Linked DNA regions of Arabidopsis thaliana. The protein of the gene in region 2 interacts with the protein of the main gene of each other region in a pairwise test. Each region holds a gene or a part of one and is shown on either strand. Other genes may lie near its edges.

The links.
Region 1: the proteins of SGS3 (region 2) and RDR6 interact in a protein complementation assay, tested with the Arabidopsis thaliana proteins (one study listed by BioGRID).

Annotation. Positions count from the first base shown.
Region 1 is NC_003074.8:18,348,408-18,355,526, forward strand, and holds RDR6 (RNA-dependent RNA polymerase 6), read right to left. Parts: upstream 5,267-7,119; 5' UTR 5,060-5,266; exon of another isoform or gene 4,804-5,059; 5' UTR 4,799-4,803; coding exon 2,084-4,798; intron 1,662-2,083; coding exon 786-1,661; 3' UTR 574-785; downstream 1-573. Other genes in the region: AT3G49490 (uncharacterized protein), read right to left, coding at 1-241; AT3G49510 (F-box family protein), read left to right, coding at 5,484-6,650. UniProt on the Arabidopsis thaliana protein: RNA-dependent RNA polymerase involved in post-transcriptional gene silencing (PTGS). Possesses ssRNA and ssDNA-dependent polymerase activity, but does not have priming activity.
Region 2 is NC_003076.8:7,940,986-7,946,724, reverse strand, and holds SGS3 (XS domain-containing protein / XS zinc finger domain-containing protein-like protein), read right to left. Parts: upstream 3,818-5,739; 5' UTR 3,520-3,817; exon of another isoform or gene 3,114-3,519; 5' UTR 3,105-3,113; coding exon 2,142-3,104; intron 2,069-2,141; coding exon 1,777-2,068; intron 1,666-1,776; coding exon 1,421-1,665; coding exon of another isoform or gene 1,415-1,420; exon of another isoform or gene 1,319-1,414; coding exon 1,152-1,318; intron 1,062-1,151; coding exon 851-1,061; 3' UTR 580-850; downstream 1-579. Other genes in the region: AT5G23575 (Transmembrane CLPTM1 family protein), read right to left, coding at 1-162; AT5G23550 (Got1/Sft2-like vescicle transport protein family), read left to right, coding at 5,246-5,389.

The DNA.
Region 1 (7,119 bases), on a different chromosome or scaffold from region 2:
GAGAATTTTCACGATACGATGGGTTATTTGACCAATTAGCCGGCGATCGTTGATAAGAGTCATGATACAACATCATCGGATCAAACACTTCTTTGGCTGGATCATAGGATTCAACCGGATTGCTTTGTTGAAACGGCGGCGCAGAAGCTGGATGATGTGGAGGTGTAGGCGGTGGTGGAGATGAGAGCCAAAACGGGTACGCTATTCCAGAGAAACCATTATAGCGAAATCCATCGGTCATCGTTTTCTCACCAAAACGAGGAAGAGACTGGTGAAGGAAAAAGTGTTGTTGCAGCTCAAGTGTTTCAGAATGTCAATGTTTATCGGAATTAGCTTCTCAATGGGCCTTTAAGGCCTTATAAGGAAAGCCCTATAATGTCACTAAAAAATGAATTTATAAGTCATTTAACTGTTTAATTATAATCACAGATAAATACAGGAGTCAATAAAAATTTACCAATTCAGATATTTTCCTAATCATATAATAAGTACATTTTATGTATTTCACATTTTGATTATAAAAGTCTCAAGACTCTCATTTGATTCATCTTAATCAAACCAGTTAACCAACATCAAGTATAATAAGAGCAAATCAAATTTGTTTTGAAAATAATAAGAGCATATTTGACGATAATATAGTAGAATACATTACACAAACAATGGCAAGCAGTTGAGCTATACAAATCCTGAACAGCAAGCAGTTTTTGCAAAGACAAGATGTTTCGTCACACAAAAAAATCCACAGATACATGGCAGAGTGGCCTTACGGCATTAAACATAACCTTTTAGAGACGCTGAGCAAGAAACTTAGCCAAAGAATCAACAGGCTTGGCTGAGTCGATACTTCCCATTTCCCGTGACCGGATTTTGATTCTTGCAAGATAATCAGCTGCAATCCAAGCAAAACTCAGCATCGCCGCATGACTGGACTCATCTGGATCTTGCAGCTCTAAAGACTTCTTCACCCACTCGGGATGGTAAGTTACATGATACCAAGCTGAAGCCTTCTTCTCATACAAGATGTTTTTTTCCTCCTCGCTGAGATTTTCATGGTCAGGGATTGTTTCCTCAAATACTTTCCTGAACTCCTTTTTAAGGGAATTATAAGAATGCTTCAGTCTTTCTTTCAGTTCGCCTTGTTTCTTGCTTGTGTATTTGGGCATGGACCAGATGTGACCCGTCACAATCTCTTCCTCTTTCTGCACCTTGTATTGCCCAAGAAGACCAATGAGTTGCCCGTCGTACAAACATTTGTGACCCCATGCCTCAGGGATCAAATCTTCAAATCCCGGTATTTCAAGAACAGCGTCATAAGGGATGGCACTTGGGTCTGTGCTTTCTTCTGAGGAAGCTTCTGCATCTTCATCATAAACCTCTTTTACCCGTCTGTAAAGCCGACCCAAGATTTTGTTCGACTTGTAAGTTTGGTAGTCTTCTTTTCCCATGAAATCTGGGTAGAGTTTTGGTTTTAGGTGGAAGGGCATTGACACAATTTTCCCTGTCTTTGGGAAATCAACTGCAGTGGCAGCTAGTTCTGCCAGTAGCAAACATTCTTCGTCCATGGCTCCATACTCACTTCTATCAGCATGAACGACGTGTGCATTGCAAATTGTGCCCAACTGCTCATTCGCCAAGTTTCTTGCAAAGAAATCGATTATGTCCTGTAACAAAAGCAATCAATTACCCAAGACTTGGCAAGCACAGCAAGAAAAAATAACAAAGAATTCATAACTACATTGGCAGAAGCTACTAGCATCATGATACTGCCCTTGATAGTAACTAAACAGTCACAGTCACAGTAAGGCATGCGAAAAATACAAATCAGAATCAACAATATATGACAAAGTTTTCTTAAATGTCATCATCTTAGCTCCTACAGGATGAACACAGTATGCTGTTAACAACCTATGCCACGCAATCTATGAACTCAGAAGCAAGCAAAAGTAATCACTACAAGCATCCAAAAACAAAGTTTCCACCACTTCCAGAAATATCAGAGAGTTATACTGGAATCACTTGTCCATTTTATCTTAAGCGTCATCATCTCAGCTAACAGAAAAAAAGTGGGGAAGTAGATATTGACCTGGTGGTTGACAGCACGGCCTAAACTCTTCTCTTCAGCTGCATCATAATGCATGGCCGGATAGCTTTTCCTGTTGGGAGGGATGAGTTTCTGATCCCAAGCCACAAAGTACAGGTCCCCGTCAAGGTCACTGCCAGAAGCTTCGTTTGTATGCGGCCTATCACCTTTCTGAGGGAAAATAAGGCAGTCATACATGTGATGCAGCTGGGGTACATCAACAGCTTCTAAAATCCTTACATCCCCTGGGTGAAGACAAGGATTCTTAGCAATGGCTACATAGCCTTTAACTACTTCCAGATCTGTCTTTGTCTCCTTAAAACGAGACCCATGTTTGGAGAAACAATTTTCTATAGACGGTTTAGAGACTTGAATAAAGCATTGGCCATGTTCAAGTATCCCTGCTTCGTCTAGGCAACCCATTAGCCACCTTCCTGAAGTAACAAAAATACGAGATTTTTCTCTGAGACCCCAGAGTTGTGCAATTCTGACTGAAGACAACATCCCGCGTAGATGCGGCTCGGTTTTTGGTTTGAAACCTGCACTAAGCATGATAGCTGCAGTGTTTCCCTGTTCAGCACATGATGCCGTGAGAACTTCAAATGCCACATCTGTATCATCAAGGATGCGGTTCAGTTTATAGAGCATGGATTCCTGCATATCCCAGAATATTTCATCCGGAACACCTAGTACGGATAGAAGGGTAATTATCTGCCGATTTAAGAACCCAGGTTGAAACCTCGTCCAGGAACAGATCTCCAAGATCGTATGTTTGGAAAAGAACTTCTTCATACTGTCTCGAAGGGCTAGCCTGATTCCATCACTTTTTGATGGCCAACGAGCAACAACCCCTTTGAAACCTGCGTAACGTATCTGATAAGCACAAGGGCTGTAGTGCACATCCAACTTAAGTTTCTCCATTACTTCGTCAGCGAGGTCAGGTGTGATTGTACCAATTCCGTCAGAGAAAACATACCCATTTCTCTCAATATCTGGAACCTCAGTGTCAACCTCGTGAGGCATGACATCTACAGTGGCATATGTGGAGGAGAAGCACAGGCCCATCCTAGCAGCACATTTTGCCACATTCTTGTCTTTGAACTTCCCCATCCATGTTTTTATATCTGACACACGTGTTTTCCCGTCTTCAGCAAAGAACCATGCAGAGCGGTCTCTCAGTTGATTGGCTGAGAATGCTAGAAAACTGTATTTTCTACCACATAGTTTAAACCCATCGGTTAATATGCTCTTCACTCTTTTAAAAACGTAGGTCTTCTGGGAGAAAGAACTTGATGTCAAATCCTTCACAATAGGAGCAACAAAGTAAGAGAGAACATTCGAATTTATGGTCTGCATACTTTCATCCATGAAAGTTACCCGCAAAAATCTTTCAGCAACAGCTTTGTATCTCCTGAGTACCCTGTTGGAGAGCTCAACTTCTGGGGGTAGGCAATAGGCTCTGGTTGGGGTAATTACTAGTCTTCTGATCTCAGAGATATCCTCAGATTGTTCATGACTCCCTAAAAGCTTTGGATTTTTCTGAATCCATTCCTGAACAAGCTTCAACCTCTTGTACGCATCAAAAACTGGTCGTTTATAGGTACAGAGATGCTTGAGAGAAGCTATATTGACGTCCTTGGGTTGGTTTCTTAGAAGATCAAAGAATCGCTCAGTCAACTGAAACTGGTTAAAGACACCCCTGTGCAATACCGAATTTACTAGAAACATGATCTCAAAAGAGATTCCTTCCTTGTGATGAATGCAGAAGAAATGATCTGACACAGGCTCCCCAAAACAAGGCTCATTACGGATACGGGGAGGCCACCTCACACGTTCCTCTTGCACCCTCCGCATCCTAAAATAATCTAAGGCTGTTCTCAGTTTATTTTCATACCGCGGAGATATGAGCACTCGATATGAATGACATCGACCAATTGCCCCAACTTGAGTAAAATCAGTGGTACGGATCCAAGGATCATCATCATCCAAGAGATCGCCAGGGACAGTATCGTAAATATCATCATCAGCAGTTCTGTACCAGACACGGGGTGAAGAAGCCAGCTGCAAAATAAGCACAAAGCCATGCAAGGTTTTATACTGCCTGACTGTTTGTATATCTCTCACCAATAACTCCAACTTATAATCACAATTGATCACAGCATGCATCACTGCATCCTTGAAAGAGAAGGCAGTGCTCTTTCTGAAACAAAACTTGCACGTGTTGTCAAAAGGATCCACCAGGAAATCAACCCCTTCAGCTCTCCAAGAAACAAAAAAATCATCCCGAGAAACCAATGTCCCAATCTCAAGTGTAATACCAGCCAACTTATAAGGTACAGTCGTTCTTCTTCTTTGATTAAGGGAATATGGATTCTTAGGACCCAAACTGACTTTTAACGGCTGGCCATCCAAGATGAGGTTGCATTGCCCTGCAGCATCCATGGCACGACCAGCTGATTCAAAAACTGCGAAATGGACAAAGGCATGAGGCTCCACTTTCTTATATTCATCAATACTGGGGATATTTGAAGTGTCTGCGATTTCAAAATTAGGATAAGACCCAGGAGGAGTCCACGAAGTTTTTAATCTGCAACGCCAAACAATTCCTACTTCATCTTCAAGGTAATCTGTGAGTTGTTTTGCAGTAGTGGATTCCCCAAATCCACCAATGCTTACTTGTGTCACAACCGACTTCTTCATATTTCCCTCTGACCCCATTTCTCCTGAAAAAGAAACATACTAAACAGAAATAACCCCCACATGATAAGGCTGATAAGAGAAAATATTGAAGAAAAGCCCTAATTCGCTACTCCGTTGGAAGATCTAAGACCATAAATATCAAATTAAGAGACAATATCGATGATTCCAACTACAAATACTATTGAAATCGATCACCTAATACATTGTTGATTGAATAATTTTGGAATCAAGCGGGAATAAATACAAAAGCACTTACACAGTGAGGTTCTGGAGACTTACACAGTGAGATCTTTTTCAATCTAATACTGGATACGAGGTAGAAATAGAAGCAATGCGGAGACTGGAGAGAGGATTAGTGAGTATGCGAAAAAGGGAGAACCCGCCATAGCTGAAACCATCTCTCGTTTTTATTTGACTTCGGCGAGTAAACGAAAGAGAGTCTGAGACTGATGAGGGGGAAAATAGACTGGAGAAGAAGTGCTTGTGCTGCTCACGTGCTATTTGTCTAATTAATGGGCTTTTAAAATATATTCCTATTTGTTTCCATTATTGTACATAGGCCCATTTAAACAACCTGGGCCAAACCAAACCGTTATCAAGAAAATACAATCGAGAGATCCGACATTGACACAGTAAAGGTAGCAACAGAGAACAGACTGAAGGAGAAGAACAATACACAAATTTCTGGAGAAAGTTTTGAAGAATGACGACAATTTCCGATCTATCAGATGATTTGGTAGGTGATATTCTTTCTAGGGTTCCATTTACATCTCTAATCTCAGTGCGATCTACTTGTAAAAAGTGGAATGCTTTATCGAAAAATCAGATCTTTGGTAGAAAAACAGCAGCAAGGAATCAATTTCTAGAGTTCATGATTCTAGATTCTAGAGTTTGTTCTTTGAGATTAGATCTTCAAGGAATCCGTAACGAAGACAAAGAAGACTTCGTTGATCCATCTATGAAGCTAATAAGTATACCTAGTAATGATGATCAAGTCGAGATATCTCAAGTCTATCATTGCGATGGCTTATTGTTATGCATCGCCAAAGAGAACTCGAATGTCTTTGTGTGGAATCCGTATTTGGGGCAAACGAAATGGATTCGACCAAGAAACACATTCCACAGATATGACAGGTTTGCTCTTGGATACGACAACAACCGTAACCACAAAATCTTGAGGTTTCTCTATGATGAAGAGAGCAACGAAAGCAGTCGAAGAACTCACATTGATGTATACGATTTTAGCTCTGATTCATGGAGGGTTCTTGATGTCAATCCTGACTGTGATATACCGTTTTATCAGACCGGAGTGTCTTTGAAGGGAAATACTTACTTCTTCGGTCAAGAAGTGACACAAGCGACGAAAGTAACAGAGATTGAAACTTGTTTACTCTGTTTTGATTTTACAACAGAGAGATTTGGACCGTGTTTGCCTCTGCTGTTTTACCCTCCCTGTCCTAGTTTTGAAACTGTGACTCTATCTTGGGTTAGAGATGAGAAGCTCGCTGTGTTATACAACCACTACGTCACAGCTGAGATTATAGAGATTAGGATTTCGACTAAGATTGAACCCAATGCGGTATCCTGGAGCTCTTTTTTGACTGTGGATATGTCACTAGTCAATGGTTTACCGGATCATTTTTCGATGTACTTTGAAGCTAAGAGCTTCTTCATTGACGAGGAGAAGAAAGTTGTTGTGCTTTTTGATAGTAAAGAGATCAAGACCTGTCGCTACCAAATGGCTTACATCGTTGGAGATGATGGATACTTCAAATCTGTCAACATTGGAGTAAGTCCGAATTCCCAGCGGAAACCAGGCAGACTTGTGTGCTCTTCTTATGTTCCAAGTTTAGTTCAACTGCAAGATTAGTCACTTTTCAATACTTTTGTTTGTTTCTTGCATCAGGTTTTCTTTTGAACAAAACTGATTTTAGTTTGAAGAAATAGTTGATACAAGTATGAGTGTATATATGACAAAATCTCACTTTTTCAAGTATAGTGTTTGAAGTTCATTTTGAAATCTTGGTTTCAGACTGAAGATGAAAATATCATCGATTTGTCTTATAGAGGAAGACTTCATTGGCCTGCCGTTCTATGCAATAGAGTACTTAAGGTCCATAGTTTACACATGAGCTTAAACTTGGGATTTGATCTCTCTTGATTTCTTTTAGATTTTGAATTGTCAAAACACCATTTCGTAGAAAATGCTAGTCATCTGATGAATATGTACTCTCTCATCTACCTCTATTATGTTCTTTATCTCAATATACTCTCAGTCATAGAAGCAATGCAGAGGCCGGAGAGAATATAAAGTTAGTAGGCCATTAGGGAGAAACTGC
Region 2 (5,739 bases):
TTTCTGCTTAGGAGAAAAGAACTTAGAAGCAAAATACCAAAAGACGGCGATTCTAACGATGCCGGAAATCGTGGAACCAAATCCACGCTGCTGCTGCGGTGGAGCACCATCGGCGCCAGCCGCTTCAGCCACCGCCGCCGTTTGTCCTGCCGGCGGGGCCATAGTTTAACGAATCGAGAAAAGGAGGATTGTTTTTAGTTACGGCGGATTCAAAAGCAGCTGAGATGTGAATTCGCTGAAGGAGATTCTGAGATTTGTAAAAGCAGAGAGAGTTCGATAGAGAGATATTTATGGGATTCTTTATTTAATTTATATTTTTTGTATAAAAATCTGAAAGAAGATTTGAATAAACAAAATATATAAGTGTGATGGAGTCGTGACGATGCTCTTCCAATGCGATTCAAGTAGAAGTGTTTTATGACACCAACACGTCGCTTTAGACTTTAGAACAAAGTAACATTTGCATCTAAAGAACTCTGTATTTTAGATATTTACTATTATTTCCCGAACCTTTAGAAAATAATATTTGTACCCATATATTTTGTAGATATAAAATTCTAAAAACATGATTTTGATTTGCCATTCTGTGATTCACTCTGACGTTTGGTAATATGTCTAACTTTCATATGAAATTTTACCAAAAAAAAACAAAATACTAAGGAAACTTGGTTTTAGTCACAAGAACTTAATGCTTCCTTAGATCCGTCTACTAAAAATTGGAGGATAATAATCTATAATCTCCTTAGATTTGTCCTAGTATTTAAATGGAGTCTCTCAGATCTCCTACTTTCCGACATACCAAAAGCAAAACAAAGAAACTTAGTCTTGTCTTGTGTACCAGACTTTTGTCTCAATCATCTTCATTGTGAAGGCCATGCTTGTACATGAGCTGTTCCAAAGCCTCATCAAATTCTTTCTCCAGATCAAATATCTCCTCGTGATGCCTCTTCTTCATGTCTTCCATCTTCTTCTCTTGATCTTTTATCAGCATCTCCCTCTCTTCCACAAACTCCTCCATCTCTTTCTCTTGAAACTCGATGAAGCTTGACACTTCCTCAGCTCTGCGAAAGAATCAAAACCGGAATAATTCAGTTACTCTTAGGTTTGAAAAACAAAAACGCCAGAGGGATTATGTTAGTTAGTACATATACCTCTTTCGGCAATCGTCATTGCTAGAGGGATTAATGTTCTGCTGCTGCTGGCCAACAACCTTGGCACGTTCCTGCTGCTGCAACATCTCGAAATTCTCCTCCTTTGCGTCTCTTCTTTCATGGATCTGTTTGATTGAATCCATGAAAAACCTGTCGTGTGCATCCATCTTCAAACCACCACAGGTTTTTTGTTGGACAATATAATCAAAAATGTGAATCAGTAGGTAATACAAAATGTCAAGTTTGTGATTTTCTAGGAAAAATCATACCTCTTCCCTGTTCTGTTCATGCTGCATCTTAGTTCTCTGTCTCACGATCCGATTATCCTCTGCAGTTCTACGCAGCTTCTCGCTCATAATTTCCAGAGATTCCTCAAGCACCTTGGCGTGCTTGTTCTGTTTTGAGAGCTTGTTCTTAAAGTAGTTCAGCTGCTGATTGTCCTCAGAGATCTGCCTCAGCTCCTTTACAACCATCTCTTGGTATGATTTCAACTCGAATTTCAGCCTTGTTTTGCCTAATGAATCATAGATATATACATAACAGATGCATTAACACGGACCAACAAAACTTTAAATTCCAATGACAAAACTAAAAGCATATATCAAATTTCTTTGGGGGAGAGAACCTTGAGAGTGTTGATTGAATATGTCCAGATCTTGCTTCGTTGCAAGGAAGCCATACAGTTGGCGAACACCTCCAGAAAACATACTGCGCTTCTGACCCCAGGCAATTCTATCTAACCCCATCTCAGCTAACTCCCGGTGGAGGCGTTCGGCCTCCAAATAGCCAGTGGCACTGCTCTCAAACATCAGAACACTCATCCCACGATGGCCCTGTGGACCATAGGAATGGCGTGCTCTAAGAGCCTCATACTTGTCGAAGTATTCCAGCAGCTCTTGGTTGCCCATGCCGAGCCACTACAATGTAACATTCTAAGATCAGTAGAATGCAAGAGAAAAATTAAAGAAGTAAAAGACAGAAGAATTCCACCTTATCGTTATCGTCCTTATCCAGTCTAGTATTCATGATGATGACCATTGGAGGCCAGACAATTTCATAATCCTTTTCATCCTCACCCAAACCCTTCCACTGCCCATAAATCTCACCACAAGGAATGACAGATGCGCCTCTCATCTGTAGATCCTTTTCTAAAACTTCAGCCAATTCTCTATGGAGCTTAACTCGCCTAGCTCCTTTTGTCCTCGCATGAGCTAGTAGAGGGTGCAGGTTATACCAATCGATGGCACCAGGTCCGTTCTGACAAGCTGGACAATGCCACTGCCTCTGTGGTTCATTTATCTGCTCGATCGACAAGCTATCCAAGCTGCCAAAGAACTTTTTGAACCACTTATTCTGCTTTCGTGATCCATGGCTCTTTTGACTCACATCCGAGTCATAATCATCACTTGCAAGGTCGTCATCAGAATCATCCAAAGCATCGGAATCATTCTCTTCCTCAGAAGCATTATCCACATCATCCTCCACGTCAGGAAACTCCTGCACAGCTGTGTGCTGAGCAGAACCTCCTCTTGCCTGCCAATTCCATCCTCCTTCCAAAGGAGGGCGAGATACAGGTGGGGGTGCCACAAAGTTGTTATCATACTTTCTGCTCAACGCTCGTCCCCGACCAGATATGTTAGCTTGAATGCCCCGACCATTGCCGTTACCTCTCCCGGATACATTGTTTCCTCTCCCAGATACGTTGCTACCTCTCCCTTGCTGCTGACCACCCCAAGCTCTAGGAGGATTCGAATTCTGAGAAACCCAAGTTTTTCCAGAAGTGTTTCCTGGTTTGTTCTTGTTCTTCTTGGAAATGACCTCCCACTCTCCTCCATCATCTTGTGAAGAAGCCAGTCTCGTCCCTGCCAAACCTTGAACCAACTGTTCAACCTCAGGCCTATAACCACCCTGAACGTTCTTTTCCTTAGACATTGGACCAGCCCTAGAACTCATTTTTACAACCTATAGCCACCAAAGAAACCCACAGTCACTACCAAAATCTCAAAATCCACACATGAACGTGAAGTTATAACAAGCCAACAACGCATAGGCTCAAAAAACAAACATCAAAGCACAAAAGGTAGATCAATCCGATTTATATGAAACAAAAACCAAAAAACGAAGGATTTTTCACAGTCAAATACTCCGATCAGCGACTAAACGGTGAAAGCACAACAAAATGAACAAAAACAGTAAGACGCAGGTATCGTTACCTAAGAACTATAAAATATAGGGAAAAAAGTAACCCATAGCACAAAAACCTTCGAAATCGAGAACATTAGGGCAATTTTTCCAGCGAAGAAAAAGAGAAATCGAGCACAGAATGCATGCGGTGAGGCGATCGGAGGCTCTAAGGCAGAAAACTTACAGAGTAAACGACGGAGAACGTAAGTTTAAAGCGCCGGAGAGTGAGAGTAGTGAGTCAGGACTCCGGAGGAAGAAAATAAACTGACGAAGAAGAGACAAATGAGGAAGCTTATTAAGCTCTAAAACGGCCTCGTTTTTCCGATTCTGGACTCCAAATTTTCATTCAGTTTGATTTTGTTTTCATTTTTGTACCTTTTTTTTTCCTTTTTCGCTTAACTTAATTGTTCCCACTATTAATTTATTGCTACGAACATGACTTGCTTAATTTTTGTTTGTTTGTCAACGTAAACATGTCTTGCTATTTTTGTATTTAATATAACTTTCACCTTATTAAAAATGCACAAAAAGTAGATATATAATTTTTACTTATATTTTGTTAGGTTTACATTTTTTGAAAATGTTTACAATGGAACCATACTGAAATTATTGTATTAAGGTTATATATAACTTATAAAACTCAAAATAATCATAATATTATGTACTATAAAAGTTACATACTATGTAATTGACAAAATTTTATATAATAGAGAAATATAATTAAATTCTTTTCTTGTATTATATATGTATATAGAAAAAATAATATGTTATATATCATTTAAGCGAAAAAAATTATTGTTTTAAAGATATGATTGAAATGTTTATATAGAAAACAATCACAAGATTATTTACTAAAAGCAAATCACAAAATAATTGACCAACCTATATAGAATAAACGAAACAAAATGTGTTACGTATCATTTGTGTGATTGGCAGTTACGTTTTATATTTTTGATTAAAACATTTTTAGAAAACAAACCACGAGATTATTTACTAAAAAAATAAATCACAAGTAATTGACCAACTTAAATATAGGAAACAAGAAAAAAAAATACTATGTTACAAATTATTTGTGTGAGGAGTTGTTATCTATATACACATTTTAGTAGATATTTTTGAAATAAATCATGGATTTGACACTTATTTACAATAGAATGTTATTGTCTTAAATTCTTAAGATTTCAAAAAATTATTAGAAGAAATTAACAAAACGATTTATATCATTAATTCTCTCTTATATTTTTCGATTAATTGTTAATTTCCTAAAATATCTATACCTAGTTTAAACATAATATATATTTTCTTTCAGTTTTAGTTAATCTTATATTTATAGAAAAAAATCTAGTTATTTTTTTACATATATCAATTGCATATAGTTGTATGATATAAAGAAAAGAAACAAAATAATATGTTATATCTGATAAAATCAACAAAAAAAATAGCTATTAAAATGGGAAGTCAACAAAAATTAAGTGAGTAAAATAAAATAAAAAAATCAACAAAAATAGCGAATTAGAAGCAAAGTTGAGGATTGTTGGCATTTTTTGAAAGTTCAAGATATTTTTGACATATTATTTTTGTCAACCACTCATTAATTAAAGGGCCTTAATTAAAACCTTAATGGATGTGTAAATTTTTAAAATAAGAAAATAAAACCTTAATGGATCCAACAATTGGGCTAAGTTTATTTTAATTTAAAATAAGCCCAACAACTAAAGCCTTTTCTTCTTTTCTCCTCCTACGAAGAAAAGTGTCTCTTTCATTTTTCAGTCTCACACATTGCGTAATTTTGCAGAGAAGATCCAACCATACTTCAGTTCTACTGTCACAATTTGAGAAGAAGAAGCGTGAGATCTGATCACTAGAACTAGGAAGAAAGAGCTTAGACTACAGAAAGAGGACTTACAGAGATGGATAAAATGAATCAGGCTATTGAGAAGATGAAGATGTTGGTTGGTATGGAGGTTGAAGACGAGCAACAAGCTGCTGATGAAGAAAGCTCGCTCTCATTCATGGAAGATCTTAATCGCAATTGCGCTTTAACTACCAAACAGGTTCTTAACTTCCCCAGATTCTTCGATCAAGTCCTCTGAATTTGGTAATTTTTGTAATTTCACATGCGGACTAGGTATTCGTCCAATTAGAGAAGTTAGGCTCGTAAGCTCACTGAGGTAGAAATGTAAATGAGTTCCTATTGAATGCATATGATGTGATCAATAACATACAAGAGATTTTGAGATAAGTGTTTAGCAGTTCTATGATTTTTTGGAGGAGAAGGATTATAAAATTCCATGTGGTATGATAACAGTTTGATTAATAGGACTAAGTTTTGGCTTGCTACTACAAAAAATTAGGACGCTACTTGGATTTAGCTCCTCTATGAACCTGTAGTGTTGTCTCGTTT